3 linked regions of the Struthio camelus genome follow. The protein of the gene in region 1 interacts with the protein of each later gene in a pairwise test. Links are inferred from orthologs where the notes say so. Each region holds a gene or a part of one and is shown in the gene's direction. Other genes may lie near its edges.

Region 1 (10,180 bases):
GGGAGGAATCATCTGGCTACATGAGAATTGTGGGTGTCATTTAAAGTGTGTCTCTAGCGCTGGTCTTAGGGGAAGACAATGTGAAAATATGAGATGTAACAGCTCAGAAGCAAGCAAGCCAAAAGAAAGCAACGCAGCACTTATTCGTCTTAACACAATTCCCTTGTCATTTTGAAGCCTTACTCACAATTTTTGTGGACTTTTCTCAGGATTTTTGCAATGCTTGTGATTGGCCACCTTGCAAATTCACTCTCAAAATCCCTGCTAGAGGAACTAACTTTACAAATGGCATTCTTCATAGCGGACTTGAAAGAGCAGCCAGAAGCTGAGTGGACATAAATGGAAAAAAACCCTTCTCTCGTTCCCTGTCCACCGCTGAAGCCCATGGGCAGAAGTGTGTATAGGATGTTTTATTCTCCTGCTTGTACTGTGGATAATCAGAAGTCTCTGTTGGCAACAGTAAAATCGTATTTGACCGCCGAATTAACTTGAAAAAACAGTGCAAGGATGAAAAAGCTGTTGTAAAATAGGTGCTTTCCTTGTTTGTTTGCTTTGTTTCTGTCAGTTGTGCGCTCGGGATCATGCCAAACTTTTAAAACATGGCATGCGCCCTAACTCCAGGAAAATGCATGTGTCGCCTTGCAGGGCAGTGGGTTGCTGGCGGGGGCACCAGCTCGGCCCCCACATCTGTGCCAGTGGCATTGGCTGCACGGGCAGGCCTGCAGTTGCTGACTTAATTTTCCCGGTGTCGCTCACGAGCCTGCTGTCTGGCTTTTTAATAAGCAACTCCACTTGCAAGCATCAGCCTGCAAGCGATTCCAGGAGGAGGAACCCAGTTCTCCCGGACTGATTAGCCCAGTTGGAGAGAGCAGTTGTGCGAGGCTGACCGAGCTAAAACTGTCGTATCGTTCTGGCTTTTCCCGAGGTGCGGCGTATTTAGCGTGCAAGCGTACCTTTCCCCCTTTTGTTTCATTATTATTTACATTTTATAATGCTGCGAGCGTGCTGGTTGATGTGATCGCCATAAAAAATAGCATGCACTGATGATGCTCTAATTCAGAGCCGAAGGCTTCTCCCTTGTTCTGATAGAGCAGATTGCTAAACCCTGTTCACACGCCGAGATAAAAAGCCTTTATCCGGGTCCCCTGGGAGTAATCGCAGGGGAGCTTCGACTGGGGCTGTAACGAGGGAGCGTAGGAATTAGGGAGAAGCTGAACAGCTCGTAGTTTGTTGTCCTGAGCGATCACTAATAACATGATACAGATGGGGCTTTGACCAGACGCTGCTGCTATCGCTGTGTCCCCGGGCAAAAACCGGGACAGGGCCCGGCAGCTGCCCTGCCGGCAGCACGGGGGAGCTGGACCGCGCTCCGAGCTGCAGTTGCAGCGCTGTGTTCCCGTTTTTGGCTTTGTCTCGCCGCTGTTCCTTTTCCTTTAAAAGCGGCAAAAATAACGCACCAATCAAGGGCATTCTGAGGACAGTAAATTGTCTTAATTTGTGCTGCTTGTGCACAGACTGTGTGGAGAATTCAGCAAGAGCCTTTAAGTAAGTGCTCTCTTCCAAAAAGCCCCCAAAACTTGAACTCAGAAAGCCTCTGCACACGACATCAATATTCTCTAGGTATGGGTTCTTCACAATTTCTTTTTGTAAGATTTCTTTAACTCTGTCCTGCTACCGTCTGTAGGCAGATGTAAATAATGTAAAATTTTAAGATGCAGATTTTGATGATTAGATGTCTGTCATCCGCCTACTACCACAGACTGGGAAAAAAATGTGTCTTTTTATAAATCTGCACCCAAAGGTCAGGAAACTTGATTGGATTAATGAGGAAACCAGATCTCTGAAGGTCAAGTCCCATCCCTTTGAACATCTACTTACCAAACACTTGGGTCTCTTCTTACCAAATCCAGTCCAACCGCTCCCAAGTGCCATGGTCATAGCTAAGGAGACGGGTGTTTTTATGCTGCTGAGCAGACAGCACTGGATTTTAATTTGAGATGTGGCCACATCTGCCACAAAATCTCAATTAAAAAAAAAAAAAAGTCCCATTCTCATGTGGTGCTTTCTGTGTTTTCTGTGCGTTAACTGCAGAACTGCTTGTCCTGCGAAATTTCAGGCTTGCTTTCCGAGAGGTGCACGCATCTGACTTATCACCAGTATTTGGCAGGAATGCAGTGAAGATAGGAAGGGGAGGCAGTTGCTCGGTTCTGGGTACAAACACTGCTGGTATCTTGGTCGTGCGAGTGAGGTATTCCTACGGGACATCAAGTATTTTATTTAAATGGGGCCATAGTCCTAGCAAAGGGCTGCCACCTGTCCAGAAATGCTTTCCTATGGATGAGAAACTTCTTTTTGTGCAGAGTTTTGCCCTCTGTCTTTTTAAGAGCTTCATATTGGCATATATCACTGTAGCATTTAGGTGATTTCCATGTCACATTGGTAGCCACAGCGATGCTACCTGATGGACGTCATGATTTCTCTGGTACGTTTCCTTGCTTGGAGATTGGGAACCTGCTAGTGGCCTTTCTGAGCGTTGGTGGTAAAGTCCAAGGTGTGACACAAGTCAGTGGAAAGCGTTATTTTTAGGATAGAAAAGGGGTTTTTTGCCCGTGTTATGGTACTGACATGGCATATCATTGAGCTAGCAGTAGGCTGGAGAAGGCACACTGCTCTGCCCACCAGCTCTGAGTAGGGTTGTGCACCCAATGTACCATCACTAACACGTTCAGCTTAAAATCTCCCATGGTGGGGTTGGGGGGGGGGGTCCATAACCTCCCACGGCAGCCAGGGCCTCGATCTTAAAATAGCCAGGAAGATTTTTCCTATGCTCTAAAGCAAATTTTCTTCGCTGCTAATTAATTGGGTTGCTTCTGCTGCCCGCCGCTGAGAGTACATAGGACCACTGATTGCTGCCGCCGTCACTGTGGCAATCTCTCTCTGTAATCAGGTGCTCCCCAGCGCTGCCCGTGTCTCCATACCCAAGGCAGGGCTAACCCAAAGCTTGGGGGCCTGAACGCTGCTTTTGATAAGTATTTGCTGCAGCATTATCTGTCGATTGGAAAACTGTATTTATACGTACACATACGTGTATATGTATGCACACGCATTATGTATATTTTTAGAACAAATATATTCAGTAGAGTCTGGAAAACGTTAGGTGTAACCTCATGCACGATTATTGTGTGCGCGCACACGTGTATGCAGTGAGCAGACATCCCTGTCTGAGGGTTTCTAAGCAATAGTTTCTAACCGCGGCCAAGGCGTCTCTGCCCGCAGATGGGCAGCGACGGCTCTTCCTGCCACCAGGAGAGGCTGGTTGCAAGGGCTTCGTGACACGAACAGACAGCACTCTGGCTGCACGGAGCAGATCCTTCCCTCTAATTTTGTCCCCCGCACTCAAATAATTGGAATTTCTGTGCTGTATTTAGTTGTTAGGTCTGAGGAGGACGGTGTTGTCTGTTCTAATACGCTACAACATACAAAACGGCATTATTCTGACACCTCTTCCCTTCCTGCCATTAATCAAATGTTTGTTTATCACTTCAAAGGTGTGAAGCGCTCTGTAGGTGTGAGGTATTATTGATCTATTTACTCCGTGCTTTCCACGTGACTGGGATGTTGTGGCGAGGATTTTATTTTTGCTGTTGCAGGTGACAGCCTGCGTGTGTGTGTCAGCCCGAGCGACTGAGTCACAGCCCACCGCCCGGGGCTGGTAACACTTCCTCTTACCATAGGGAATGAGATAACAAGCGTTTCCCCGTAGGTGGAGGGGGACAGCACCTTGGCGAGGCTGAAGTTTCCCACAGAAGAGCTTACCTGCTGGCAGTTCGCATTTATTAAGAAAATACCGAGCGATGGTGACAGGGTAATCTAACTTTCTCTCTAACCCAAACCAGTGAAAAGTAAAATCCATCTCACCGCATCAGTTTTGTTTTCACTGCTGTTTAAATCTATCCTTTCCTTCTGGCAGAGCTCTGCACAGTCATTTAGTACCAGCTTTGGGGGTGGTGTGGTTGTTAGCTCAGTGGTGTATGACCCATTTTTTTCGTAATACCTGCACCTTTACAGCATACATCACACGTTCACTCCTGCGACCTAAATCATCGCCAGAGAAGCGTTGTGTCTGATTTCAGGCGTCCTGCGTAAAGTGCCGTGCCTTCGGAGCAGCTGGCGCTGCCTCGGGCTGCGGGTTGGCTGCTGGGAGAGGATGGGCCGCGCTGTCTAGCTGGCGATTAGTGAGCGAGTGCAGGTAAAAGCACGTTTTTCTGGAGCTGACACTTGGTCTGAATTATTTTGTTAAATTTTAATTGCAAGCTTACGGCACGTGTTTCCTGTTATGATTTCTGAAGAGTTCAGAAGAGGGAGTGTTGTAATGGATGCTTTACCCTCTATAATACTTGCGTTTTCAGAGGCGGCAAGATAATTAATGACGGCAGATTGTTAACTCTCCTTTCCCCCCCCCATCCCCAGATGTGGCTTCACCTGTACTTTTCTTTAGTCTGCTCTTAAGACAGGCATGTTTCTTTATTTCTCTTTTCATCAGTTAATTGGGTTCACTTTCTGCAGCGTTTCAGATGGTAATTAGGTTCATACTTGTGTTGCTTTGCAGAGTGCTTGGTGTAAACAGAAAGAATCAGGCACGGGAGACATAGATAAACTAGCGTTGTAGTAGGTGCGGGAGTTTTATGTTTAAAATTAAAAAGTAATTTGCAAAGCAAGTTGAGGTAAAGTGGATTTAAACATAATGAAATCATCCTTGACAGCAATTTGTTTCAAGTTCTTCTACTATTATGAGTGTAAAGGGATTTTTTTTTTTAATTGCCAGTTTCTGGGTAGAGTATTCAGCATAATTTCTCACAGGTAAGTGAAGCATTAACTCCTTATACATCACTAATTTAGGGAGCAGGGGGAGAAACCGAGAGTTAGGGAGATGCATCTCCACCGTTTCATCATTTGAAAATTCATCAGTGGTTAGCCAGCTTAGAGAAGAAGTCCACCGGATAACTGAGAGCAAATAATTAATTAAATGCGTGAAAATCCAACATGATACCTGACCCAGTAGATATGCCGCGTGTATGAATATCTGTGTCGTTGATGCTTAACAGGATCTGATGAAACTCCAAGTACAAATTGGAAAAAAGTAACAGCATTTAGCTAGTTTGCATCCCTTGTTCACATGAGCCATGAGTTCTGGGTTTTTTGCATTTATATACTTGCGCTGTAGGTGTTGGAAGTGTGGGTGGCCAAAAAAAAGCGGTGGTTACAATAAGATTTTCCATTTATTGCCCTTTGTGTACAACTAAAAATAAGATTCAAATGCTTCACAATTTGTAGAGCAAGCATAATCGTTCTGTTAGCTCTGATGACTGGCTTACATGCAGCTTCATCTCTATCTGGTAAGTCCTGTGCTGAATACTTGTAAATGTGTCTGTGTTGAGATGAAAGACAGAGTTTACTTGCAGTGTTGTCTAGCTATGTTAATTTATCAGCTTTTTCTTATCTAAGAAAAAAAAAGGAGTTAAGCTTAGTCCATAAGTAAGAAGTGGTGATGAAAGAAATTTGGAAACGGAGTTGTTCTGGTATCTGGAAGAAGCGGCTTTAGAGAGGACTCAAAGTTCTTTAAAACCAGCCCTCCAAAATCGCCCTTATGTAACTTGAACTGTTGATCCAGAACTTAATCTTTTGGCCAAAAAAAAAAAAAAAAAAGGAGCGGGGAGGAAATCTGTACAAATCTGCTGAGCATCAAGAAACAAAATTCTCAGTGTTAATTTTTGGCATGCAAAACCTTTTCAGTTTGGTTTTTAGGGTGCCAGTCTTGAAATATGCTGTCTTGGTGGCTTTTCCAGGTAGTCACACCGGTTAGGAATCTGCTAAATTAGTTGAAATATATTGAGCTGCTAAAACGGTTATGACCACATTAATTGGTATGTCTCCTGTGGCCAAGAGAAACATTAAAGAGAAGATGTTGTCAGCATATGCAGGGAAATTCATAACTGTATGGTCTAAGGTTTGGTGCTCTCCCTGCTTCACTCATTAAGTAGTTGTGGCATTTCCAGAGAACGAGCGTGGCTGTGCATTTCAAGCTTCTCGATTTGATGCAATTCTTGTAATGGATGAGTAGAGAGAAGGCATCTCTTCAAGAGCTGCAGAACCGAAGGTACAGACGCTGAAAACTTGTTTTCCGTTGTGCGTCAGCTTGTACTGCACGGCCTTCTTGTCACTCTGTGACCCTTCCAGGTTTTTCCAGGCGTTGTAGTGTGGCAGCAGGGTTCGTTTGTTTGACTGGAGCACGCGGCTAAATAAGACGATAGGTTTTCATTCTGAATAACTCCATGCGGCGCGGAGGATGTGGTATATGGGAGGCACGTAGAGGCACATGCAGTTGTTCCGTGGGAATATTGATGCTGGCTGTGGTGAGTTTTTTATTATGCAATAAGAAATGCCATTAAATTTCCTTAATGCAAACCTCTCCCTCTTCTTAGGAGGAGAACACTGTGAGCGCCGTTACTACCACCTTACTCTTACCGCCTCCTTTATGCCTTTTTGCTTAAATGCGTGTTTCTGTTTTAACATCTGTGCACATGCCTGAGACCAGCTGCTGATAAAAAGTATAAAAGGCAAGAGAGCTAATGCAGTAATCAAGGTTTTAAATATTTCAGGTGGGAATGGGCTAAACTTCAGAAATAATTAGCTTCCATGGTGGTGGTTTCTGCAGGGAATTGCCTTACATCTGTTATAATTATCTGCACGTCTCAATCCTTTAGGTGACCAGATGCTGACAGGCAGTGTAGACATTTTTTTCCTGTGGAATTTTCCCTTTTTGATACAGATGTAGATTTTTTTCCCCCTACTTTCTACTGCTGCGCCTGACGCAGATGAGTTCAAACGTGATTGCTTTGAAGATAACACCAGGAGAGTGTGTGTCATGTGGCAAGCACACTCATGCTCCTTTCACTGTTTCTACACTTTCCAATTGGATGAGACAGTATTTTCTTTTCCGGGGGTATCACCACACAGGCTATTTTTAGAGGTGGCGCACAGGGCACGTTGTACAACTATCGATAAACGCTGCAGTCGTCTTAAATTTTTTCCTTATATGGTGATAACATTTGTGAAGTGTTCACCCTTTCTTTAAGAGGTAGATGGATCTCTTTTTGATTGTTCTTAAGCACTTAAACAGCTGCTGCGTATACAGCGTATGTCTGTGTTTTCTGTACGCTGTTCGAAGTGAAACGTAGGCACCAGATTAGGATTTGTATAAGAGACCGAAGCAATGTGATTGAGGTTTGCAGCTGTAGAGCTCTAGTTCACCTGTTGGATTGCAGAGCGGACTGTCTGTCTGCTCCCTTGGGAAACCCTGAGCTTGGTTTTTAACTTGCCTTTCCTGCAGCACGCAGTCTGCAGTCAGACGTTTTTACAGTTGTCGTAAACTCTTTGTACGGCTCTTAGTTTCGGGCATGCCCAGCTAAAATCAAGGAGAAGCGGCTTCCAGCACATAAAGGCTGCCTTTGACCGGCCAGCTCGGCTATTGTGGCACCCTGCGATGTGCGGGAGCTCCTAGGGAAAAGCAGGAGCTGGGGAGGTAGCGGATGATGTTCAGCCCACGATGCCCTCCCCACGCGCTCACCGGGAATGGGGAATGCTTAGAAACTCAGCGCAGCCTTACAATGCCATCGGATCCTGACATAGCAGTTAATTGTTAGCCTATGCCGTTTATGTGCTGGAGGAGCAGAAATGGCCAGTCGTGGGCTCATTATTGCATTATTCGAATAATACAAAAACATTAGCAATGGAGATTTACTACAATGGTGTATTTTAAGTGCATCTCTGCTCTGCCAGTTTCGCTTCTAATGCACTCAGTTAAGGAATGCTTTGGAGGTTATTGCTAATGGATGAATCTTCCGGAAAATTGGAATTTTCAAATAAGATTGACATTTGGAGTGAGAAATACAAATCTAATGAGAGTATTTCAGCAGAGGTTTGTAATTAGGAATGAATGGAGTAAATTTGTACGCGCAGTCTGCAGAAGGGCACAATGGAAGGTGAAATTGCACACTCTGCAGTGAATGAGGGATGAAAGCCAATGTATCAGTGTCATGGCATGACAGTGTCGAGTATAAATGATACTGTCACTGAGTGCTGCAGAAGGTATCAAGGGAATTCCACTCCAGTAAATTGCATTACTTAGACAGACCTGAAGGCATTGTGCCTGAATGATTGGAGGGAAAAAAGGTTGTCAGCACAAAGCAGAAGATATTATAGAACAACTGGCTGCAGGCTTGGAAATCAGTGTTTTTCTATGTTTACCATGCAAAGCTCCTCAGCTGCTTTTTAAGTTTTTGGTTGGATTACAGATGTATTGATGACGCAACAGTATTTTTCCAGAAGTTGTTCAGAGCAGATACCGTCCTGCAGCATGGATTGAGCATGCACAGCCCCCAGTACTCAGGTAGGAACTGGGACTCCTCCAGACTTGGGTAAAAATCTAGTCACATGTACCTCAGGCAGTGATCCATTTCTTCATTTGGCTGAGGATTTGGTTATGGGATGATTTTAGCAGAGGTGTGTACGGAGGGGTGGGTTGCTACCCCCCATTCTCATTAGCGCTGCTTGGAGGTGATGCATTGCCAGCTGGGAAGCCTGATCTGGGGCTCTATGCCTCCAGCTGGATTGGGATGAGCCACACCAGATGGTGGGACACGAACGTTGTTCTCTCTGATCCCGTTTGAAGGCACTTCAGACAGCATGGCAAGGCTTGTGGTATGGCTCACTAGGAGCGTTACGTCATGGTGATGGTGCAGCAAAAGTCCAAAGACCTCATCCATTTCAGCACAGGTGCATACCTCCAGCTATTTTGCTCTTCATCCACCCTTTCTCAGGTAAAACCCACTGCTAATTCCACCTGTTTTCCTGCAACCGCAGCGATGATGCTGAGTGGAAGAGTTATTTCTCACTCTTTTCTCTGTAGTCACCTGTTGCATCTGTCCTCTCAGGGGCAGTACCTCAGAGGTTGGTGAGAGCTGCTGTTTGGGCTTACCTGCTTTTCTGTCTCTGACCTTACATGCATACAACGCCTTCTAGCTCCTGTCGTTTCATAGCTTCCTTGTAGGTGAGGCAGTTCAGCTCCCGCAGTTCTCCCAAACTGCCCCTTCTTGACAGGCCTCTTAAGATAACAGCAGCTTCTCCCCGAAGACGACATGTTTCATTTCTGCAGCATATGAAAAGCCCCACCTGCCTTGGGGCTTCTAATAACACTTCAGCAGGCTTTGTACTGCTTAAAAACATCTTTTTCCACTTGCCTACGCATGAAAACCATCACTGAATATGCATGCTGTAAATAGTGGTTTGGAAGCATGCTTGATTTCTCCTCTCCAAAACTCTTAGGAGCTTGTAACTTCTGATTCGCAGCATTCACAAAAGGTAGGATGATAGACATGCAGCACAAACAAAAGAGCAGTCATCAGGGTAGGTTTTTTCACCTGTAAATACTGCTTCAAGGTGTGGGAACGTTTGCTGGGTAATATGGCCAAACTGAAGCGCACTTCTTCTGGGAAGTTTGCGGTTCGGAGAAGAACCTTGAAAAAAGTTAATAGGTATTCAAGTTAAATTTGATCCTTTCTTTCTTTATTTCAGTGACATGAAAATATTTGTAGAGTCATTCATCGCCTCATCCAAAGGAGCAGGGCAGAATTCGTTATTAAAAGTAATTCAGTGATTCGGGAATTTGTCTCTTCTAACACTATTTGACTATTTGTGATAATAAACAGTCTAAAGAGCAAGTTTTCCAAATCTGTAAGGGCCCATCTTCCTCTGAATACAGGGCTCCGTCGTTGCCGCCTCTCTCTGTAAACCATAGCAAACCTACAGGCCAGATTAAAAAGGAGTGAGGCACCTGTGGAAAAGAAGGTGCCCCACATGGATTTAGCAATGGAGCAATTTATTAGGGGGCCCTGAACATAGCAAAAAGTGAGTGGGAGGTAGCAAACTGTAATTCGTATGTGGTCTGAGCGTTTCCCACATTAGAACTGGGCTAGAGTGGCGTAACAGGTAGCATTATGTCTTGTCTGTCTGGATAGAAAGTAGAGTTGATATCTAAAGGATATAAGGCTTATCCTGCCTGTGTCCTTAGACCATCATTGCTACAGGAAACCACTGTGACTGGTTAAGCGCCCATTCATAG
Region 2 (10,376 bases), on another chromosome or scaffold:
TCACCATTAGCTCCATTGAGAAGGTGAGGTGCGACATGGGCCACCACGAGCTGCTGTGGGCCTGTGCGCTGCCACTCACAATGGGGCCTGCATCCTTGCAGAGGTTGCCATAACAGACACCAGGTACTGGGGAGGCATCCCCTGCAGGGCAGTACCACACTGGATCTGGCCTTGCACCCGTCCCACTCCTCCATCCCCCAGGAGTTGACGCAATGTCTGTTTCTGGGGTCGTTACTTGTGTTTCCCAGCAAGACTAAATCTATGCTGCAGCCAGCTGACTTCCTTGGGCCACCTTTCCCTGTCCTCATCACAATAAGCTAAAATAGTCTTTTTACCAATTCTTTTACTATGTGAAATGCTGTAGGATCTTCCCTCTCTCAACAGAGGTGGGTCATCTCACCTGAATTCCTGTAGACTTTGTGCTAAGTGTCTGCGGGAGCCGTATGTGGAGAGTTGTGAGTCAGGTGGGAGCTAGGTGTTGCAGGTATCGCTCCCAGTAGCAGCTCTGCCCAGCTCTCCGTTTGGTGGTGCTCCTGCAGGCGTCACGTTTAAAATTTGTCCGCTTTGGCTCAAAGTTGGGAAGCTGGGGTAGAGGAGTCTCCCTGTTCCCTCTGCTTGCATTGCCCTTGTCCCTTGGGAGTTCCTTCCTAAGCAGTCTGTTTGGTATGCCAAATATGTGTTAAAGCTCTTTTTTTTGTCTCTTCCTCCTTTCTTTCTATCTCCAATTATTTTCTACCCTAAGAAACTCTCTACCTTCTGCCCCACACCAAAAGTGATCAGGTGCATGACCAACACCCCTGTGATTGTCCGGGAAGGTGCTACAGTCTATGCCACTGGGACTCATGCAGATGTGGAGGATGGGAAGCTCTTGGAACAACTGATGGCCAGTGTAGGCTTCTGCACTGAAGTGGAAGAGGATCTGATAGATGCTGTAACGGGGCTCAGTGGCAGCGGCCCTGCATATGTATGTGCTGCTTCCTCAACTTACGACAATCATGGGGAGAGAAGTGGGCTTTGCATGCAGTGAAAGTCTGTGCAACTTCAGCTTGTGATTTTTTGTTTTTTCTAGTCACTTACATTTGCAACGGGACACATAATCCAGGCACCCAGTTTATAACAGCTTGGGTCAACAATGAGAGTCCGTTAACAGTCACTTGAGGCTGAAGTCCATAGCCAGTGTGCAGCGTCCACGTGTCCGTGTTGCAAAACCTGGGCCTGTTGTTAGTATGACCCAGAAACTCAATTTCTCTCGTTCCCCCCAGCTCAGCTGGAACAGGTGGGAGGGAAGCCTGGCATGGCACCCCTGCAGTAAAGGGGAGCAGTCTCACCTGAGAACTGGGTTGACTGGAGGGTGACTTTTTTTCAAGTTCTCCTAAGCAATAGGAGTTATACTGTGCTCCTAGAGCCTTGGCGTCTCTCTTTCCTAAGAACATTAGCCCTGGAGCAGAGACTAACTTTCAGCCATTTTTCTCTCTCTGTGATCTCAGGCGTTCACTGCCCTGGATGCTCTGGCAGATGGAGGAGTGAAAATGGGACTTCCTCGCAGGCTGGCTGTTCGGCTTGGAGCCCAGGCCTTGCTGGTCAGTAGCTCCTCTTCCAAACCACACTGAATCTGTGCCTGTGCCTGTTCAGTGCAGAGTGTTCTGTACGTAATTGTTTAAAATTATCTCAGTCCTTGTACTAAATCCACTTAAAAAATGTGTTTCATTGGAATGGACACAAGTCCCTGGTGAGGGAATGTAGGCAGTGTTCACAGATACCTGCTGGTGCTGATGGCGTTGTGGGAGCCTGGGCCAGGAGAACCATGACTTCCCTGCAGGCTTTTTCAGCTCGGAAGAGCTGGCAGCCTGCTAATGGCTGTGAGGCAGGAGACCGGTTTTGCCCACTGTGAGTATTTAGGTGTTGCTCTATGCAGTGGAGAACAGGAGTATTTGGCAGTAAGTTTCCTCAGTCAGAGCTTTTGGCAGCTGTTTTCTCTTCCTCACTACAGGGTGCTGCCAAAATGCTGTTGGAGTCTGAGCAGCATCCGGGTCAGCTGAAGGACAATGTCTGCTCACCTGGGGGAGCCACCATCCACGCCCTGCACTTTCTGGAGAGTGGCGGCTTTCGCTCACTCCTCATCAATGCCGTGGAAGCTTCATGCATCCGGACAAGGTGGGCACCAAGGAAGTCCTGAGGAGGCTACAAAACTTGTAGCTTCCTGAGGAGGCTACAAACCCACCTCGTGGGTCTCTCCCTTTTGCTGTATCTAACTCTCTCTTTCTCCCCGCTGCTTCACAGGGAGCTGCAGCATTTGGCAGACCAGGAGAAGATCTCTCCAGCAGCCATAAAGAAGACTTTGTTAGATAAGGTCAAGCTGGAATCTCCTTCTCTGTCTGTGGCATCTGCCAGCAAAGTCAGTCTGTTCACCAGTAAGAGCCCCAGCAGTAAGAAGAACTGACCAGGCTACCGTAATCTGGCTGTGCTGATAGTCAGTCTCCTATATGTCCTTTCTTCTTTGTTTAAGGAAAAACCTCTCGCTGTGGATGTTGGTGTTCCCCATACCTGGCTCTCAGCTTGCAGCAGCTGTGGGGCAGCATGAGGCTGTAGGAGAGGATCTATCTATCTATCAATCACCTCTAGCGGGATTGGTGAAAACTGCCCCTAGCGTTGCTGTTCTCTGTTGGGCAGGGGTGTGATAGCATCACCAGAGCTTTATCAAGGGCATCATTTGGCCAGAGGCCCTGGATACCCCCAGAGCTCAGGCAGTGTTTATTGTGTCCCATGCAGATGTGGTTTCTACTGGTATTTCTAAGAGGTTTCAGAATGCCTTTTGGTCTCAGTGGTTTGAACCAGGCTGGATCCCTCTTGCCTCAGCATGTGCTGTCAGAGCTTGTCTTCTGTCACTGTCTATATTAGCTAGAACAGATACTACTGCAGAAATGCAGTGCTCTGCGCTCCATTAGAGGCTAGGCTCTAATGTACCTCTCAAAAGGGATCAAAGTGCCTCTGCCCTGTTTCCCATCTGCCTTGATTTGACAGCCCAATGATGTGAACCCCTGGCCTTCAAGCACCCCAAGTGCTTGAACCGCACCGCATCTCTCTTCACTGGCTACTCCTTCTCCCTGCTGCACGTAGTTTGGGAACAATGACCTACTCTCACTGTCCTTCCTTTGCTGCCTAGCCTTCTTGGGTGTTTGGGCAGGTGGAGGGGTAGCACGTGCTCCCTCTTCCCTCTGTTTCTGGCACCTGTGAACTCCTCACAAGCAGAATCTGCTCCCATACACCCATGGGTATGCTTCAGTGGTCGCTGTGCTTCCTGATGCTCTCCTTGCTGCCCCAGGAGAAGTGCAGAGCGGAGGTCAGGGATACCCTCCCCCAGAGAAAGCCCTCTACTGCGCTGCTCCCTTAGGCTCAAGTGGGCTTTGTCTGGTTGGGTTTGGTACCCAGGTGCTGGGTTACCGCGTGGCAGCAGAACTCTCCTCGACTCCTTTCCTTGAATTGGGCCGTGTCGTCTTCTTGGGTTGTGGTGTTGGCACTCGCTGCCAGGGGCTACTGTGCTTCAGCTCCTGCAGTTTAGATATGCTGCAGTGGGCTGGTTCTCCCTTCCAGACAATAGTGCCCTGGGCTGGGATGATGAATTCTGGCACAGCAGCCCTCAGTATCCCTTTGTGTTGGCACAGTTAGGTTTCTTTGGCATTTTCTAGCCCATTTCTGATTATTATTTTTTCTTCCTGTTCTTTTGACGACATCACGCTGCTAATGGCTAAAAGAGGAAACACCTAGAAACTAGTTGGGGATGCTTCATGCAGTTGCATTCCTAGTCCTTTAGTATACAAGACTGAAGGGAAACACGGAATCCTCTGGTCTGGCTTGTGGCTCAAATGTTGTTCTTTCTCACATAGCTTATCTTGCATGAGATCCAGGAAGAGAATGGTTCAGTCCTTGCCTGACACAAAAGAGGTTAAGGGAGTACTCGTGAGTGCCTAGTGCCTGTGCAGCAACAAGGAGCTGTTTGGTGAAGCGTGTCCAGATGACTGTACCCTTGCAGAGGAGGAAAACCCTTGATGTTCCCGTCTGGAGAATTTCTCTCCACCGTAACTCAAATGTGTGAGCAAGAAACAGCAGAGAAAAATGGGGTCTGGAAGCAGTGTTTTCTGGTGCCCATTGAACTCCAGGACTTCTGAGGGGAGAAATCTGGCCAGGCTTGGGGTAGCAGCAGGCTGAGAGGGAAGCCCTGCTTGACCCTTCTCAGCAACTGGGGGGATTACAGCCCATCATGTAGAAAGATGGTTAATCAGGCACGGTCTTGGGAGCCATCTCAAGAACAGCAGCAAATACAAGGTTTCATCTGCTGCTTTATGTGACTTTTTTATAGTAAATACCCTTGGGTGGCTTCCTTGCCTCTACTCTTCTCTCAGACCCTGAGTGCTATCCTGAGCCAGAAAACAGTACAAAGCATTCAAACTGCCCCTATCGCTTTTAGCTGGCTGCAGTGGAAGCAGCAGACTAGAGGGGATGGAGGGGGTTTGGGTGGATAAATGTCATACTATATTCTACCTTGGGATACACTGGGGTAGTGCTGGTAAAAGGAAGACATTTAAGCTGGGCTTATTTTCTCTCCTGAGGAATCCTGGGTATCTTGGTGATACAGGAAAAGCATTTAGGTAACAGTGCAGAGGCTGCCAAAGGTGCTAATAATAGAAAAGCTTCTTCAGTGTTAGGCTTTCGGCTGGTAGCAGGGTATGACCCTTTAGGCCTTGGAGATGGTGACTCCTCTTCCCTCTTTATATAATAAACTGCTTCTCTGACTGAGGCCTGTGGCTAGTCCCAGCTCTTTGGACTGGGTGGGTCTCTTGGTTGTGGCTGGTGCCAGCAGATCCTCGCTGTTCCCAGGGAGTGTGCTTGGGCTGTGCTGCTCTCCTGTCTTCGAGGCTCGTTTGGCCGTGGGACTGGGAAGGTATCAGTTTCTCCTTGTCATTTACAGTTCCTGAGCAACAACATAAGGGTTATTTTAGGGCCCTATGCTACCAGTATTCAGAGGTTTAAAGAAAATTGAAGGAAAAAAGCCTTCTGGCTGAAATCAGGCTGAGGATTTTTGAGTGTTAATTTCTGTCATACCGTCCTGAAACTGTAGGCTTCCTAGCAGTTCTGCTACTGCAGACAAGAGTCCATGGGAAGCAAGTTGGTGCCACATGTTCCTCTCCTTCCCTGCTCAAAAGCTGTGAACACCCTGCACAGATCTGCCAAGCTGTAAGTCAGATGGTTGAAATACTGTCTGATTAAAAAGTGAATGGGGCATTGCACAAAGTGTTTCCACACAGCTGATAATGTGGAACACGATAAAAGGTAGCACAATGAGCTTGTGCCCCTCCAGAGGGATATATGGGCTGCCCCAGTGTGCCCTAGAAGAGGCATTGCTGTGCAAGAACTAGAGCTGAGCTTGCTCGATGCTTGCAGACCTGTAACTTAGCTGGTCAGCACAGAAGAGAAAAAGCCCATCAAAGCATATAAAATGACTCTGTGCGGCTCTAGTTTGTGTGTCCCCTGCATGCATGGCAGAGGACAGTGGAGCTGCTGTTGAATGTCCAGGGCCCAGATTTTTTCCTTATAAGGATCATGCTTTCTCCATGATGTCTTAATTCATGTGTGCCTGGTTTCACTGATGTCCTTCCTCCGCTGTGCTCATCTGGTGTGCTCTGGTGGGCAGAGGCCTGCTTTGCTTGTCGTGCAGCAGCAAAGAGGATAGGTACAAATATTGCTGTGTTATGGACACAGAGCACAGAGTTATAGCAGGATAGATGGGGACACATGGGTCAAGCCAGGCATGATGGGGGGGAGAGCACCATTTCACAGCCCGAGAGCCAGCCCTGCTCGTACACTTTTTCAGCAGAAACTTGCTTCAGCATTGTCACTAATGCCTCGGAGAGCAGCTGCAAAGCCCTCTTCCTTAAGTCAGCATTTTCAGGGGAGACCTTGCTGCTCCCTGCAGTTTCAGCAGCTCTGAGAAACTGTAGATGCAGCAAAGATGAGCTGCTGAGACGGAGCAAGGAGCGTGGAAGCGCGGGAGCGGCTGGCTGAGCAGGAGCAGGGGCGATGCTCCCCTCCGCACTGGGGCAAAGTTAAAACGCTGGACGTGGGGTCTGTGCCAGCCCCTGCGGAGGGCTTCGCGTGTGTGATTGCAGCGGTGGCCCAGGGGAGCGGGCCGGGAGCGGGGCGGCGGCGCCGCAGGAGCCGGGCGGTGCCCGGCCGCGCCAGGCCCCGCTCCGGGTTGGTTTATCCGGGCAGGCGGCTGCAGCGCTGCTCTGGCTCCCGGAGGAGGCGGCGGCGGCGGCGGCCGGGCCGGGCCCGTCCCCGCGGCTCGGGGGCGGCGGCGCTACCGGGCCCGGAGCCAGCCGGCCGCCCCCCCTCCCCTCCCCTCCCCTTTAAGGCGCGGCACGCCCCGCCCCCTTCCTTATCGCTGTCGCCTCCGACAGTAATGCGCGTCCCCCTTAAGGCTCGGGGCGGCTGCACCGGCCGCTTCATGAATGGAGCCACGTGACCCAAACATCACGTGACGCGTCCGTGAGCAGCGGCGGCGGCGGCGGCTGGCGGCGTCCCGGTCCCTCCCAGCGCCCGGTCCCGGCCCGGCCCGGCCCCGGCGGCACCGCGAGGAGGTGAGCGCGGCGGGCGCGGCCCCAGCCCCGGCCCCGCAGCGGGAGCGGCCCGGCCCCGGGCGGGGCGCGGCGGGGCGGGGCGGGGCGGCGGGCCGGTCCCCGGGGCCGGACCGGGCGGGGGCGGGGCCGCCGCCGCCTCGCGATGGGGGGCGATGGGGGGTGCCGGGGCCGCCGCCGCCCCGGGCTCGCGGCCCGCCCGGCCCCCGCCGCGGCGCCGCGCAACAGGTGCGGGGCCGACGGGCCCGGGAGCCGCCCCGGGACCGGGACCGGCCCGGCACCGCCCCGAGCGAGGGCGGCCCCCGCCCCGCCCCGGCGCCCGGGGGTGTCGGCGCCCCCCGGCCGCTGCCCCGGCTCCTCCCGGCTGCGGGCGCCCTCCCCGGCGGCGCCGCAGCTCCGCTCGGTGCGACCGAGCCCCGGGGGCCGGGGCAGCCTCGGCTGCGAGGCCTTGGCCGGGGCCGGGGGCTGGAGCCGGGGCTGGAGCCGGGGCTGGAGCCGGGGCCGGGGCGCAGCGCGTCCTCCCGCTCGCTCGGGCCAAGGCGCCCGGCAGGCTGCCGGACCTGGCCGGCGCGGAGGGTTTTTGCTTCGTGCCCCGTTTCTCCCTGCTCTAGGAGGGCAGGACCCCGGTTTGGTGTGTTTAGGGGGAGGCTCTTGCCTCTCTGACCGCCCAGAATTAGCGATGTTTCAATATACAGCTGCATGCTGGGGGGAGGACACCGCTGGGACCGGGGAGGGGGTCTCTGAGAGCAGGCTGCTCCCGTCGTCCCCGCAAGCGCAGGTAAAACGGGGTGCGCGGGCAGATTCCTTGACTGAATAATTACGGTGGAAGCGTTCTGGATGCGAGCTCACCTCGGACTCCCAAGGGAAGAGCGGGGATGCACGGGAGGCAGACTGTGCGTGTAGCGAGGGAAAACAACTGATCTGCTTGGATTCCTGGGACAATTGTGTCAACTAACTCAAAACCCGCGCGGGCAGAGAGAACTTTCCTGCGGCGTGCCGCGGAGCGTCTCGTAGCGCCCGGCGCCTTCCCCTGCCTCCGCATCCCGATAGATGGGCCTCCCTCTCCGGGCTGGCCTGTGCTGGAACGAGTGACGTCACCGTGTTTACACTGGGCTCATGGCACCGCTCTGTGAATCAGGAATGTGGAGAATGGGGCCTGCGTCGAATCATGCGCGCGGCTGTCAGCTCTGTCGTGCTGCCTCTGGGCTGAGGAGAGAATTGGCCGTGCTTGTGCTGAGTTCAGGCCTTTCCAGCTCTGGGGAAATGTGTTGAGGCTGCGTTTTCTTCATTGCAGTCGTTGCATTTGGCACTTCTCAGTGTGATCCTTCTTCAGGAAGCTATCGAAAGCTGAGAATCAGCAGTCTGGAGAGTTAGACCCAGCTTGGTCTCTGTCTTGACGCCAGTTCTCTGGGTGTCCTCTGTGCGAGCTGCCAAATGGTTCTGTCTCTGATCCTTTGAGCAAGGCCAGAAAATAGCCAGCAACTTGTGTCTAGGTCGTTCTTCCCGTGCTACCGACGGACTAGTGTGTTGGTTTGTCTCCATCCCTGACCCCTTTGGAAAGGGGACTGGAGGCGAGGAGAGGTGAAATCACCCAGATGCTGTCAGCCAGGGTCTTGTTACAGCTTTGAGGCTGTTCTGGGAGGCGTGTTGGATGGGAACGAGGCCTGAAAAAGTTGGATTCCTCTAGCTGGAAATGCCTGACTCTTAAAATACAAAAAAAGGTTAAATTACTGGGACCAGTCTCTTCTCCTGTCTGCGGATCAGTCTGCTGCCTCCATCCTGACTGGCTTCTTGCAGTGCATTGGATGTCTCCCAGCTACTGATTCCTCTTGGTTCCCGCTTGCCCTGACTCTCCTGACAGCAGCGGTCGGATCTGCGAGCACTTTGGGTGAGGGTCGGGAGGGTGCAGTGGGCTTCGTTAGAAGGCCTCTTTGTGGCAGCCTCGTTTGTTCAGCCAACCCAATCACAGGCTTTTGTCATGTAAAAAATTTGCTTTATCAGGTTGTAGCTGTATGATGTGGATAGGAGAAGTGTTTCTAGATGGCTCCTGAGATGCGTTGCATAGACCTCTGGATTCCCCGGTAAAGGGTTTTGCTGAGCCGGTTTGGCCCTAAATTTGAACATGCAGTTTCCTTCCCCCATGTTAGCCTGTTCCTTGGGATTTTCTTCTGTGGGTTCCTGTAGCTTTAACAGCAGTGACAGTGCCACAGGGCCTTTGTGGGTCCAGGCTGTGCGAGCACCGCTGCTGAATCTCCGCAGCCTGCCCGGCGGAGTTCCCTTCCCCGGGGCCGGTCTGCTGCTGCAGCGCCCGTGGCCTTGGTTGTTTGTTTTCAGCTCCGCTGTGATGAAGGAAGTTTGAGTGCTTGCCAGGCAGCTGAGTGCTGGTTAAGGCCACAAGGCAAACAAACTTCTCCGTTCCCACTGACCGTGCCTGGCCTCTGCTCCTTATGCTCAGCAGAGGACGCTGCAGGGAGGTGCTGCTGGGGTGGCGTTATTGGTCTCCCCAGTTGATCCCTTTCTTCTGCCCCTCTTCTCAGCAGCCATGTTGTTTGCCAAGGAGGAGCAGAGGAGAGAGGTATGAGCAAAAGGGAAAAATTGATTTTTATGAAGCAATTGCGTATGTGCTGCCCGTCCTGTGTTAGCCTGCTTCCTTGCAGCTAGCTTCCCTGGCTGACAAAGTGACCTTTTTACACCAGCACTGTCAGGTTGTAGCAGGCATCTCATTGGAAGGAACATTGTCCTCTGGGTATAAATAGCCTGCCTCCCGGCAGGCTCCAAGCTTTGGGAGCATCTGAATTTTACCTGTCTACTAGGTGTCTTGGAGAGCACTAACCCCTTTCACCTCTAATGGACAGTGGTAGATGCATTGCAGAGAGCCTGAGCCACAGCTGCTAAAGAGCATAAATTTGCATTTGCGGATTTGTGCATGTGGTTCTTGGCAATAGCCCTGTGCCAGTGCCTCTTACGTTTAGCAAACAAAATAGCGGCTATGTGGGAGAATGCGTTTTTGTTGTCCGTTGGGCACTGAGGAGACTGAAAGTATGAAGGTGTTTGTGGACTGATGTGTACAAGAATCCTCGCATTGCCTAAGGAAGCTTGCAGTTAGTTCCTGGTTGTTTGAGTTGCAGTGATGTCTGTTGAATAATATTTGAGAGGATTCAATTAATTGGGCAATATAGTAACATCTTGACCTAAAGCCTGAGGGGAGGAGGTATCTAGGGACAGAAGCGTGGGCTTGGGTGTGATTCACTCTAAAAACAGACCTGGGAATTGCTCTCCTATCAGTTCTGAAGTGCTGTCTTCCCTGGCAGTGAAGGGGTCTGCTCTCCTCTACTTTTGGCCTCCCTTAATCTTTGTTTTCTTATGCAGTAAAGCTTGGCTCTGAAGATAAGGGAGGGGACAAAGTGATTCTGTGTCCTGGCATTGCCGGAGACTGAGAGGGGCTTTCTCATAGAAAAGATCTGACTGGGAGAGGTGAGGGCTGCTGAGGTATCACCCGAATTTGCGATGGGAATCCAGCGTGCCTAATGCTTGCTTGTGCTGCAGGATCAGGTTGTCCTTCCGTTCCCCCCGAAACGGTTGGGTGCAGAGCTTCAACCTTACCCCGAGCGTGCTGGCGTTCTTGGGAAGCAGGAGAAGTTTGGATGGGAGCGAGTGCAGGAGGGGCGTCTCCTGTCCTGTAGGATGCTCCGTGGGGCGTGTTGTGGAGGCAAAGGCTTCCCCCGTGCAGCTTGCCCTGGGTCA
Region 3 (9,874 bases), about 64 Mb from region 1:
AGTATATACTCATGTCTAATGTGTGTTTACTCAGACAGCAATTTGAGGTTTTTTGAGAAGCTTTTTTAATGAAATGTACTGAAGTAAGAAGGTGGTCCAACTTAATATTTACGAGACTGAAACTTTTCAAGAAAATGTGTGACAAATTTTACTATCATTAGATTTGAAAAGCTGAGCATCTGTACTGAGATTTTGTATATTTAATCACATGTAAATATTTGTTTCAGATCGCTTTTGTATATATGAACTTATGTTTTTATACAAAGCAAATTAAATCAATTAAGAAAGATCAAAGTTTCAGATCATATTGTCTGTTCTAATCCTGGCATAGGTGGTAACTGAACAGCTAGTGTACTAGCACTTCAGAAGACATCTGTGTTAAATTCAGGCTTGAGTAACTGAAGTAGTTCCTTTTAGTGCCTTTGAACTCGCAACTGTTATTAATCTCAGGGCTACAAAGGCTCCAATGTAAGAGAGGACAGGATGTGTGAGGGGCTGGAACTGCAGAGCTGTGGAACGTGGGACCGGGACTGTTTTTCACACAGTGGATTGCTGTTCTAGCTTCTTTGAGTATGAATGCTCCTTGCTGGATTGAAAATCATAACCATCACTTTCTTCGTTAAGATCCGCATATATTCTTCAATTTGAATGTTTCTATACTGAGCTGAGCACTGCACGATTTTATATGTCTATCATCGTGGTATTTGAGCATTTTCTGTGTTAATAGAAAGATAACCTGACATTCTCTCTGAATAATGATAGGCAGGTTCCAAAAAAGGGCTAGGATTTATAAGGAATAGGCATGTTTCTTTGAAGAGGTTCCATCTGAAAAGGCCAATATGAGACAAATGTCTTAAGAAATAAGGGAGAACACTGTGGATTTAAGACCTATAAGTGAATTAATAAATTTATCCTACAATGCATATTAACACTTAGCTAGGAGACTGCGGGACAGTCAGGCTGCATGGGATTTGAAAGAAGTGAGAACAGATGCCTGGTAGCCTGAGCTAGGGCAGTTGTGCCTTGTTCTGTGTCCCTCATTTCAATCACAGCTGGATGGAAAAAAAAAACATCTGGAAACATTGGCCAAATACATGGCATAAAGATAAAGAAAACAAATCGATGAAGATCGCAAGTGCAGCATTTAAACTAGGAGTTTACAAATCTCGGGGGGGGCCACTTTTGGCCAAGGGGCAATGGAAGGGATCAGAGGCCCTCTCTTTAAATGAAAGTCGGGTGATGAGCTAAGCTCAACCCTTCTTGTGGCTGACTGGCTGAGTATTCAGCTACTTTTCAAATATTTGTTAAAAATTTCTACATCAAGAGATACTTGCAACAAGCAATGTCTGGGAGATATTTTTCCCACTGTCAGAAATAAAATATAAAATATTTCACATTTTCCCATTCCGACAGCCTTGTGTCCTTCAGTTAACTTTTCATAGAAATCTGCGACGTTGTGCAAGACAAGCGTCTAATCGGGCTTCTACTGAAATGTCACAACGTTCAAACTTCTTATTTTTAACTTGAGGCGAATTGGTGTTGCATCAAGAAATGTCTGGTAGTTTTTCTTAATATAGCCTTTGACTTTTGTAAGACAACTCAATAGTGATGGATGCTTGGGAACGTTTGCAAGCAGGTTTTGAATTTCTTAGCTTTCTTTAGGTGAGATGGAACGTCTGCCTGTTTGCTGGTAAGTACTGTCAGCGCTGTGCTTGTCACTAGAGTGGTGAGCCGTCCCTACCCATAACAAATTTACAAATCGGAGCGGTATGCGCACACTCTTTTACTGCGTGTGGTTTTCTGAACAGAGGTTATTGCACGCAGCATGCAGGGGATCTCCTGTTCCAGAAATCTTCCCATGGACACCAACGGCAGTTTGAAAGTTTGGGCACGTGGTGTTCTGAAACCCAGTTCTGATATGGGACGTTCTTCAGAAAAGCCGTATTATGTTAAACTGCATTCAGCAACTCTAGTCTAAATGTGTGTAGGTTGCTTCATTGCAGACAAAAATCACTGATAAACTGCCATTATAAAATGTAAACTCAGCTGACTAGTGTGCTTTCTGGACTTGTTTTTTCTCTCCTGTATAGAAATGCTCTGCCCTTACTGCTGTGTTACTTGGAATTACTGTGTAGGCATTTCTTCAGATGTACCAGAGATAACTTTAATACTAAGCAGAAACTTGTTCCCATAAGCAAATTTTGACTTTTCATTTCCTTTGTCACTTTGAACAAGAGCGGACCACACTCTGGCTCAGGGGGACTTTTCTGTGGCTTGTCCTGTATTTGTGGGATCCTGCAAACCTCCTCACGCTACAGTATTTGGAAGGGTTTGGCTGTTGCCGGGAGTTACTCAGTAGGGTAGCTACACAGCACTAACAAGTCCTTCGTAAACTGGTCAGGACGTGGTTCAGTTAGATCATTTAGTTGTGCAGTTGCTGTTAATAGCAGTATTGCTTCTGAAAAAGCATGAAAGCTTCATGTGGAATCAGATCAAAGTCCGTCTGCGAGAAGGGGGCTTTTTTTTCCTCAGTTCATAGGTTTTCTTTGCAGCCTGTTCTCTGAGCTTATGCAGATACTGAGTTCTAGTCCTGTGCTTCACTCCAGATGTGCTTAAGCTATAAAGAAGACAAGGAACCTAGCGCTCTCTTCCTAAGCAACTGTCCCAGCTAATTGTCCACCCATGCCCGCATTTATTATTCCTTTAACTCTGTGATTAGTGGTTTAATGCAAAATTGGACTGTTTCAAAAGGAGAGGTTGAGAGCAATTCGCCCTATAATTGCTCACTGCCTAATGGGTGCGGCTAACCTCCAGGAGATGCTGGTTTGCTGCCCTTCAGCTGGGCAGCGGCACTGAACCCGTACCCTCTGCTTCCTTGGTGAGCCCTTGCGTCTGTATGTTGTATGAAGCGGAAAGGGAGAAGGAGCTGCAGGACTGCTTTTAAAGAAACCGGGGCTGGGAACATCCTGTGAGGTGCTGGGTTGACCCAGCACAGTCTGAGGACACAGACTGGGTTGCAACACTTTGGCAAGAAAGCCGAAGGAGCCCGTGTGGTTTGTGGGTCCAGGGGTCATGTGGGTGGGGAAGGCTCATAGGCACTCAGTCCTTGGGGGTTGAGAAGCTCTGAGAAAGTGCCAAAGCGAAGCTGTAGGTGGCCTGGAAAATGGAGACTCAAGCTGCTGCGAGGCAGAACAGCTGGGGAGAAGGGCTTCCCGGTGGGGAAGTCCCATTCAGGTCTTTCAGTAATACTGATCTAGCTGATGGTCCCAGAGTCAACCAGGAAACCTGCGGTAGAGCAGAGACTTTACTTTGACTCTCGGACTCCCAGGCAGTGTGGTTCTCACGTTCAGCACGAACTGTTGGCCAGATCTTCCTAAAAGAATAGTCTATATTAACGCAGTTGGCAAACTTTGTAACCTGATGTTTATCTAAGTTGTATGACTCAAACTTCTGGGGAAAGCAGAAAAATAGGGAAGTATCCAACTTATTAATTTAAGATACCTGGGGCTTTGTGACTGACTGCACTGCAGTTTTGGGGCACTTTCCCTCGTGTGGACGTGCTTTTGCATGAGAATTGAGGAGCGCAGGTTAGGTATACAAATATATCCACAGCGCCGAAAGGATGTTGCTACGCATCTATCTGCAAACATGCATTCAGAGCTTCAGAGCTGAGGGAGAAGATGCAGTTCAATTGAAGTGTAGGAAAAGTGTTTGGAAGGATAAAAGAAACATTACTTGGAAGGAAGGATAAAGTTGGAAGGTTTGGAAGGATCAAAGAAGCATACTGTTGTTGAAACGCTACCGAACAGGGAGAGCTGTATGTGAAGCTGTGTGTTCAGCAGGCGCTGTCTTGCTTTGCCTTTACAAGAAGCGTGCGGCATTTCCTTATTATTTAAGGGAACAGGACCAGTAGCGAAAGTGAAAACGGTTTTATTCCAACACCGATAGCTTGTCCTTACGCCGAGGAATATCGGCTTGTCTTGCTGTCCTCTCCCTGAAGTCTACGCCGCTTTTGGAAGCCCATGTCGCTGTATCAGCACAGCCGCGGCCCTGAGCGCGCCGGGGTGAGTCGGGCTCTGCCGGCGGCCGCCGCTTCTCCGCGGGGCTCCTCCGCAGCCGCTGCCGCTATCGGCGGGCGGCGGTGCCCCCGCCCCCGCCCGCGGCCGCGACGCGACGGGACGGGACGGGACGGGACGGGACGGGCGCGTCTGCCGGCGCCGGCTCCCGCCGGGGCGCCAGGGGAGGGGGCGGCGGGACCGGCCCGGCGGCGGCAGCAGCGCTGGCCTCCCTGCCCGGCCGCGGGGAGGAAAGCTGGGGAGAAGGGAAACTCTTCGGCGGTTATTTTTAAAGGCGAAAGCAAGAGTCGGGCTGCCCGGAGGGGCGCCGAGCCCAGCAAGCCCCCGGGCCGGGGCTCTCCGGGGGGGGGGGGGGTTCGGGCAGCCCCTGCCCGGCAGCGCGGGGGGACACGGGCTGCCCAGCCGGGGCTGCTCAGGGCACCCGAGGCCCCCTCGCCGGCGGCGCTGCCCGGCGCAGGGGGCTCAGGCCCGGCCGGCCCGGGGCAGCCGCGGGCGCCACGTGATTTCCATGCAGGCGGCGGCGGGGCTCCCGGGGCGGCGGCGGCGGCTCCACCCCCGCGGCCGGGCAAGCGGAGCGGCGTGCGGGCGCCAGGTGCCGGGGCGGCCCGGGGCGGAGCGTGCCCTGCCCTGCCCTGCCCGGCCCGGCCCGGCCCGGCCCGGCCCGGCCCTCCCCTCCCCGCCTCTCCGCGGGGCCGGGGGAGCCCGGCGGCGCTGAGCGGCCCGGGGCGGCTCGGCACCTCCCGGGATGTCGTGCGCCGTCCCGGCGGCGGGCAGCGTGCTGCAGCGGAGCGCCTCGGCCGAGGGCGCCCAGCAGGTAGGGCAGGGGGGCCGGCGCGGAGCGCCGCCGCCGCGGCGGGCACATGGGGCTGAGTCACGGCCGGCCGCCCCGCCGGGGCGCCCTCGGGCGCCGCGGCCGAAGCCGCCCGGAGAGGGGGCAGCCGCGGCCGAGGAGGCGCCGCCGCCGGGGGCTCCCGCGCAGCTGCCCGCTCGGCGGCGGCGGAGCCGCGTCGGGGCGGGAGGCGGCGCGGGGAGCTGCTGCCGGCGGGGGGGTGCTCGGAGCCGCCGTGGGGACCCGCGGGGGCTGCGGCAGGTAGGAGAGCGGGCTGCGCGCTGGGCAGTTTGCTGCCCCTCCGCGAGCGGCCTTTGCTCTGCCGGGAGACAGCCGGGGGCGCAGCGGGGAGCGGGCCCGGCTCGGCTCCCTGCGCCCGCCCGGGGGCGAAGCAGGTGCAAGGCGCTGCCCGTGCAGGGGAGCGAGTTTCGGTCCTCTGCCGGAGCGCCCCCGCGGAGGGGCCCCGGCTGCGCCGCCAGCATCCCCGCGCCTCGGTTGCCACCTGTGCAAGGGGGACAGGGGGCGCATCGCCCTTGCGGGGCACCCTGCGATCCGTGGGTGGCCGGCGTTGTGTAAGAGCTGGCTGTGCTGTGAAGTTGGGAGGACCCGCTTGTTCCTGACATCAGTTATTTGCCTGACCTCAAGAGTCTCCGCGTGCACCGTAAAAACCAGCACGGTGGCTTATGTCTTCCAGAGTCATGAAGAAGATGACAGGAAGGTAAGGAGGAGAGAAAAAAATCGAGTTGCTGCCCAGAGGAGCCGGAAGAAGCAAACTCAGAAAGCGGATAAACTTCACGAGGTGAATGGGTACTTGATGTTTTGCAGGCACAGCTTGGGTGCCATGTGCGGGACTTTACGATAAATGGAACTTCTCGGGCAGGCGTGGGCCTGTCGTCATGCTAATCTGGCTCAAAGAGGTGTGGGTGTGAAGCAGAGACAGGCGTATCACTGGTCGAGAAGTCTCTGCCACAGGGTGTTCAGGTTGGACAAGTAACGGTGCCGCTCTGCCGCCGGTGGCACTGCCATGGAGGGACGTGGCCTTGCCCTTGTCTTGCCGTCCCTCTTGCGCCATCGCAAGCGTTCCCACAGCCGCCCGCTGAACTGGACGCAGGACTCCTCTGGGCTAAAGCTGAGCCATGTTTTCTGGGTTAGTGTTAAGCATCGTGGGTATGCTCTGTCAGAGCGTGAACGCGTAACACCTCACAGGGGAGGAGGCACCATGCCTTTCCGTAGCGGTGTCAGTTTAAATCGGTTCCAAAACTGTGGTGTGAGAAAGAAATACCCGGCTGAAAAGGCTTCTTTGGAACTCCAAAAGCCCCAAGCGCGAGAGCTCAGCTACTTTGTGCACTGGTGTCCTCTCATAGTAACAGTGGGTGTTTCCAATACGCATGCAAGTATCTGATTCTTCCAGAAACTTGTAACGCTTCTCAATATATCACGATGCGGGGTAGGCTTCTTGTGTGCCCTGTGCAAAGGCTGGAGAACAGGAATTGCCTTTCTCTGTGTGTGGATGCGGTCCCACGCAACAGGGCTTTTGTTGTAGCCGGGGCTCTCAGGGCTACCTCGGGGTAAATGCTAGTGCTGCTGCTACGGCTGCTGCTGTGCCAGTCGTGCAGCTCTGGACTTTCAGCACAGCCTCTTCTCTCCCACAAGGTGGAAGGATCCCTTTGCCTTCCTCACACCCTTTCACCACCTACCACCGCTTGCAAGCACAGAATAAAACATACGTGATCCTCCTAAGCATGAATGTAGCCAAACTCCAGCAAAGCTGAGCATCCCTGACTCTGCTTACCTCTTGTTGCCTGAAACCCCGTGGACCTAAAGTAAGCAGTACTCTCCAGTTAATCTGTCCCATCTTCAGGGAAGAGAGTACAAAACTGCTGTACCAAGACCGGATACTTATTCAACAAAATCTCCTCGCACCTTGGGAAAACCTGCCTGCCTGCTAATACAGATTGGCAGCGTGAGTAAGATCCTCTGTAACAGTGCAGAGGGAGCATCAGAAAGGCTGGAGATGAGACATGTGTCAATGATTCCACGAAAGCCAGAGGTTGCCCCTTTCCAGAAGTACCCTGGCAACTGGCTTTCTCAGGCACTGACTCAGAGGAGATTTGGGAAAAGAACAAAACCAGAACTTCTGAGACTGCCTCCTGTAGGCAGATCCTTCCACAGCAGGAAGCAGCCGTAGCAGCAGCACTAGCATTTACCCCGAGGTAGCCCTGAGAGCCCCGGCTACAACAAAAGCCCTGTTGCGTGGGACCGCATCCACACACAGAGAAAGGCAATTCCTGTTCTCCAGCCTTTGCACAGGGCACACAAGAAGCCTACCCCGCATCGTGATATATTGAGAAGCGTTACAAGTTTCTGGAAGAATCAGATACTTGCATGCGTATTGGAAACACCCACTGTTACTATGAGAGGACACCAGTGCACAAAGTAGCTGAGCTCTCGCGCTTGGGGCTTTTGGAGTTCCAAAGAAGCCTTTTCAGCCGGGTATTTCTTTCTCACACCACAGTTTTGGAACCGATTTAAACTGACACCGCTACGGAAAGGCAGGGTGCCTTACAGAAGGGAAGGGAAGCAGAGGCAGTCTTAAAGAAAGCTGGAGGAGCCCTGTGTGAGAGACTTTCCCTGTTTTCTGGTAAGCAGGTCTTTTAAAGCATGTGCAGGCTTTGATGTTTGCTCTGAAGCTTTCCCAGGGAGGTGAGACTGAGTGGGTGAGCGCTGAGCCTAGGCCGGCAGCGAGGTGCGGACACCTGCAGGTTTTCTGTGGGCTGGACCTGAACCTTTAGCTCTCTTCTCTTTGGGACGAGCAGTCTTGGCAGCAGGGACGCTTGCAACTTGCTGTTATCACAGAAATGTGAAATGCGATTCTCGCCTCCGTCACAGATGTCTGCTGCAGAGCATCTGAAAACTCCTCTGCAGTTAAGAGCAGCTTATTCATTGCCAGAGAGGCCTCGGCACAAAAGCAGCCCCAGCCATGGATAATCGAGGCAGCGGTCAGGATTTCTGGAGACAAAGCCGGTTCGGGGGCAAGCTGGCTCAACGCTCACCTCCGCAGCCTGCTCTTTGCTTCCCAGGCATTCAAGCAGGTGGCTACAAGCCACGGCAGGGGTGGAGGAGAGCAGCTGGTGCCAGGGCACCTTGTGCTAGGTGCGCTTCTCAGCCAGCGCCCGCCTAAGCTGCTGCTTTCCCGCGCTACCTGGGGTGGGGGCTGCCTTTTCCTCACCAGCAATGCTGAGCACTGGGGTTTCCCCGGCACCTACCGGCACTTGGTGCTTTCATTTTCACCGCTCTGCCTGCAGAAGCGGCCAGGGCTGGCAGAGGCTGCTCTGGCCACCCCAGGGCATGGCCACCCGGGCTCCCAGCCCTGGGCTGCTGAGTGCCCGCCCAGGCTGGGGCACCCCCACGTCTTCGGGGCCGCAGGAGGAGTCGCAGCTCCGTCAGGCACGGATCGTAAATCACTCGCCCTGTTCAAAGCACCCAGGTTTACTCAAGGCTCTTTCCTGAGCATTTTGCACATCTGTAATAAGCAGAAACAACACTTTTTCTAGGGTGACATGAATATGTGCAAGGTGGAAGCACTGAAGGGAATGTTTTGACTATGAGGAGTCTCCTTTTTTTTCTCTTTCCAGGAATATGAATCTCTTGAGCAAGAAAATACCTCCCTGAAGAGAGAAATTGGAAAGCTAACAGATGAAATGAAACACTTAAGTGAAGTGTTGAAGGATCATGAAAAGATCTGTCCACTATTGCACTGCTCCGTGAACTTTGTGACCATACCAAGGCCTGATGCACTCACCAGCTGCCTGCCAAGATGAGAGCTCTCCTTGATCACCTTGCAGTGAGGGCAAAGGCACCCATTAACAAGGGAGATTTGAAGAACTGCCTACTTACAGCGCAGGTCTTTCCTTAAAGAGGGCTGGACTTGACCACACAGGTCTTCTCCATGTCGAAATGCTATAGTCTTCTGAATCTCAGGAAAACATCAGTATGGAAAAAAGACAGCCTGAACTGTAATTTCTTTGGTAGAATCTATGAGCCGTGGTTTTGCGTTCAGCAGTGTCGAAGTAGGCTGCAGCCCGCCATCGTGGCATGGAATGCAGGCGCAGAAGAGCACCGGCCGCAGGCTGGGATGCCTTTCTCCCACACATCCACCGCTAGTAACCCTTTGTCAACTGTCATCCTTAGAGATCGTATTCTGGCTGCTGTTTTTTCTCTAAACAGGTTTGGTTAATAAAAGCAATGGCCTATCTTTATGATGTTCTCCACCTTATTCAATATCTAACATCTTCTGAACATCTGTGCTTTTTACTTACTGGTCAAATCCAAAGTCTAGTGCTAATCTTCCTGTCAGTTGTTTTATTATTTGCTTATCACCACTTCATTGGTTCCTCTTTTGAAGTGTGTGCAACAAATGAGTTTTCCCAGTCCTTATTTCTTTATTATCTGTAATCATCAGCTCTAATAATATTAATTTTCAGTGTCTTATATTGTAAAATATGGTTTGGCCAATTTCACATGATGATTGCCAGTTCTGTGCAGAGAAAGACCAAAGCAGGATTTGCTATTTTAAAACTGTTTTAAAGAACAGTTTTTAAAATTTACTGTTCTGTTGCATCCACTGGAAATAAGTAAGGGATTGGTTTGATTTGGGGGAGGTGTTTTGTTCAGTTGGTTGGGGTTTTTTTGGTAATGCGCTATCTTTATCTTGCATATTGCCTTGGGTAAGTGACTTCCATGGGTAGAACAAAGTCATTTTAACTAAGCATTTTGCTCCATATCCACACTGAAGATGTCTGGATAACTCTTTGCAAGAGAATCATTACGTTTTGCCACCTTTTTTTAAAAAACTTTTTTTCTGGAAAGGAAGATTTATTACAGTCTTCATGAGAAATACATTGAAAAATATGCTTGCTTTCTCTGAAGCTTCTTGGTAGTGTCAAGCTCTAGAAATGTGAATGCTGTA

The links.
Region 2: the proteins of BACH2 (region 1) and MAFG interact in binary tests that used the Homo sapiens proteins (3 or more experiments, as listed by UniProt). The link is inferred for Struthio camelus from reciprocal best matches to the Homo sapiens genes BACH2 and MAFG.
Region 3: the proteins of BACH2 (region 1) and BATF3 interact in binary tests that used the Homo sapiens proteins (3 or more experiments, as listed by UniProt). The link is inferred for Struthio camelus from reciprocal best matches to the Homo sapiens genes BACH2 and BATF3.

Annotation. Positions count from the first base shown.
Region 1 is NC_090944.1:50,517,523-50,527,702, reverse strand, and holds the start of BACH2 (transcription regulator protein BACH2), read left to right. Parts: upstream 1-5,299; 5' UTR 5,300-5,375; coding exon 5,376-5,396; intron 5,397-6,091; exon of another isoform or gene 6,092-6,157; intron 6,158-6,386; exon of another isoform or gene 6,387-6,401; coding exon of another isoform or gene 6,402-6,413; intron 6,414-10,180. UniProt on the Homo sapiens protein: Transcriptional regulator that acts as a repressor or activator. Binds to Maf recognition elements (MARE). Plays an important role in coordinating transcription activation and repression by MAFK.
Region 2 is NC_090960.1:367,843-378,218, forward strand, and holds the start of MAFG (transcription factor MafG), read left to right. Parts: upstream 1-6,456; 5' UTR 6,457-6,635; intron 6,636-7,352; exon of another isoform or gene 7,353-7,410; intron 7,411-7,447; exon of another isoform or gene 7,448-8,520; intron 8,521-10,376. Other genes in the region: PYCR1 (pyrroline-5-carboxylate reductase 1, mitochondrial), read left to right, coding at 1-23, 743-964, 1,488-1,580, 1,991-2,154, 2,281-2,440. UniProt on the Homo sapiens protein: Since they lack a putative transactivation domain, the small Mafs behave as transcriptional repressors when they dimerize among themselves.
Region 3 is NC_090944.1:114,272,136-114,282,009, reverse strand, and holds BATF3 (basic leucine zipper transcriptional factor ATF-like 3), read left to right. Parts: upstream 1-4,739; 5' UTR 4,740-4,821; coding exon 4,822-4,890; intron 4,891-5,599; coding exon 5,600-5,704; intron 5,705-8,540; coding exon 8,541-8,726; 3' UTR 8,727-9,164; downstream 9,165-9,874. UniProt on the Homo sapiens protein: AP-1 family transcription factor that controls the differentiation of CD8(+) thymic conventional dendritic cells in the immune system.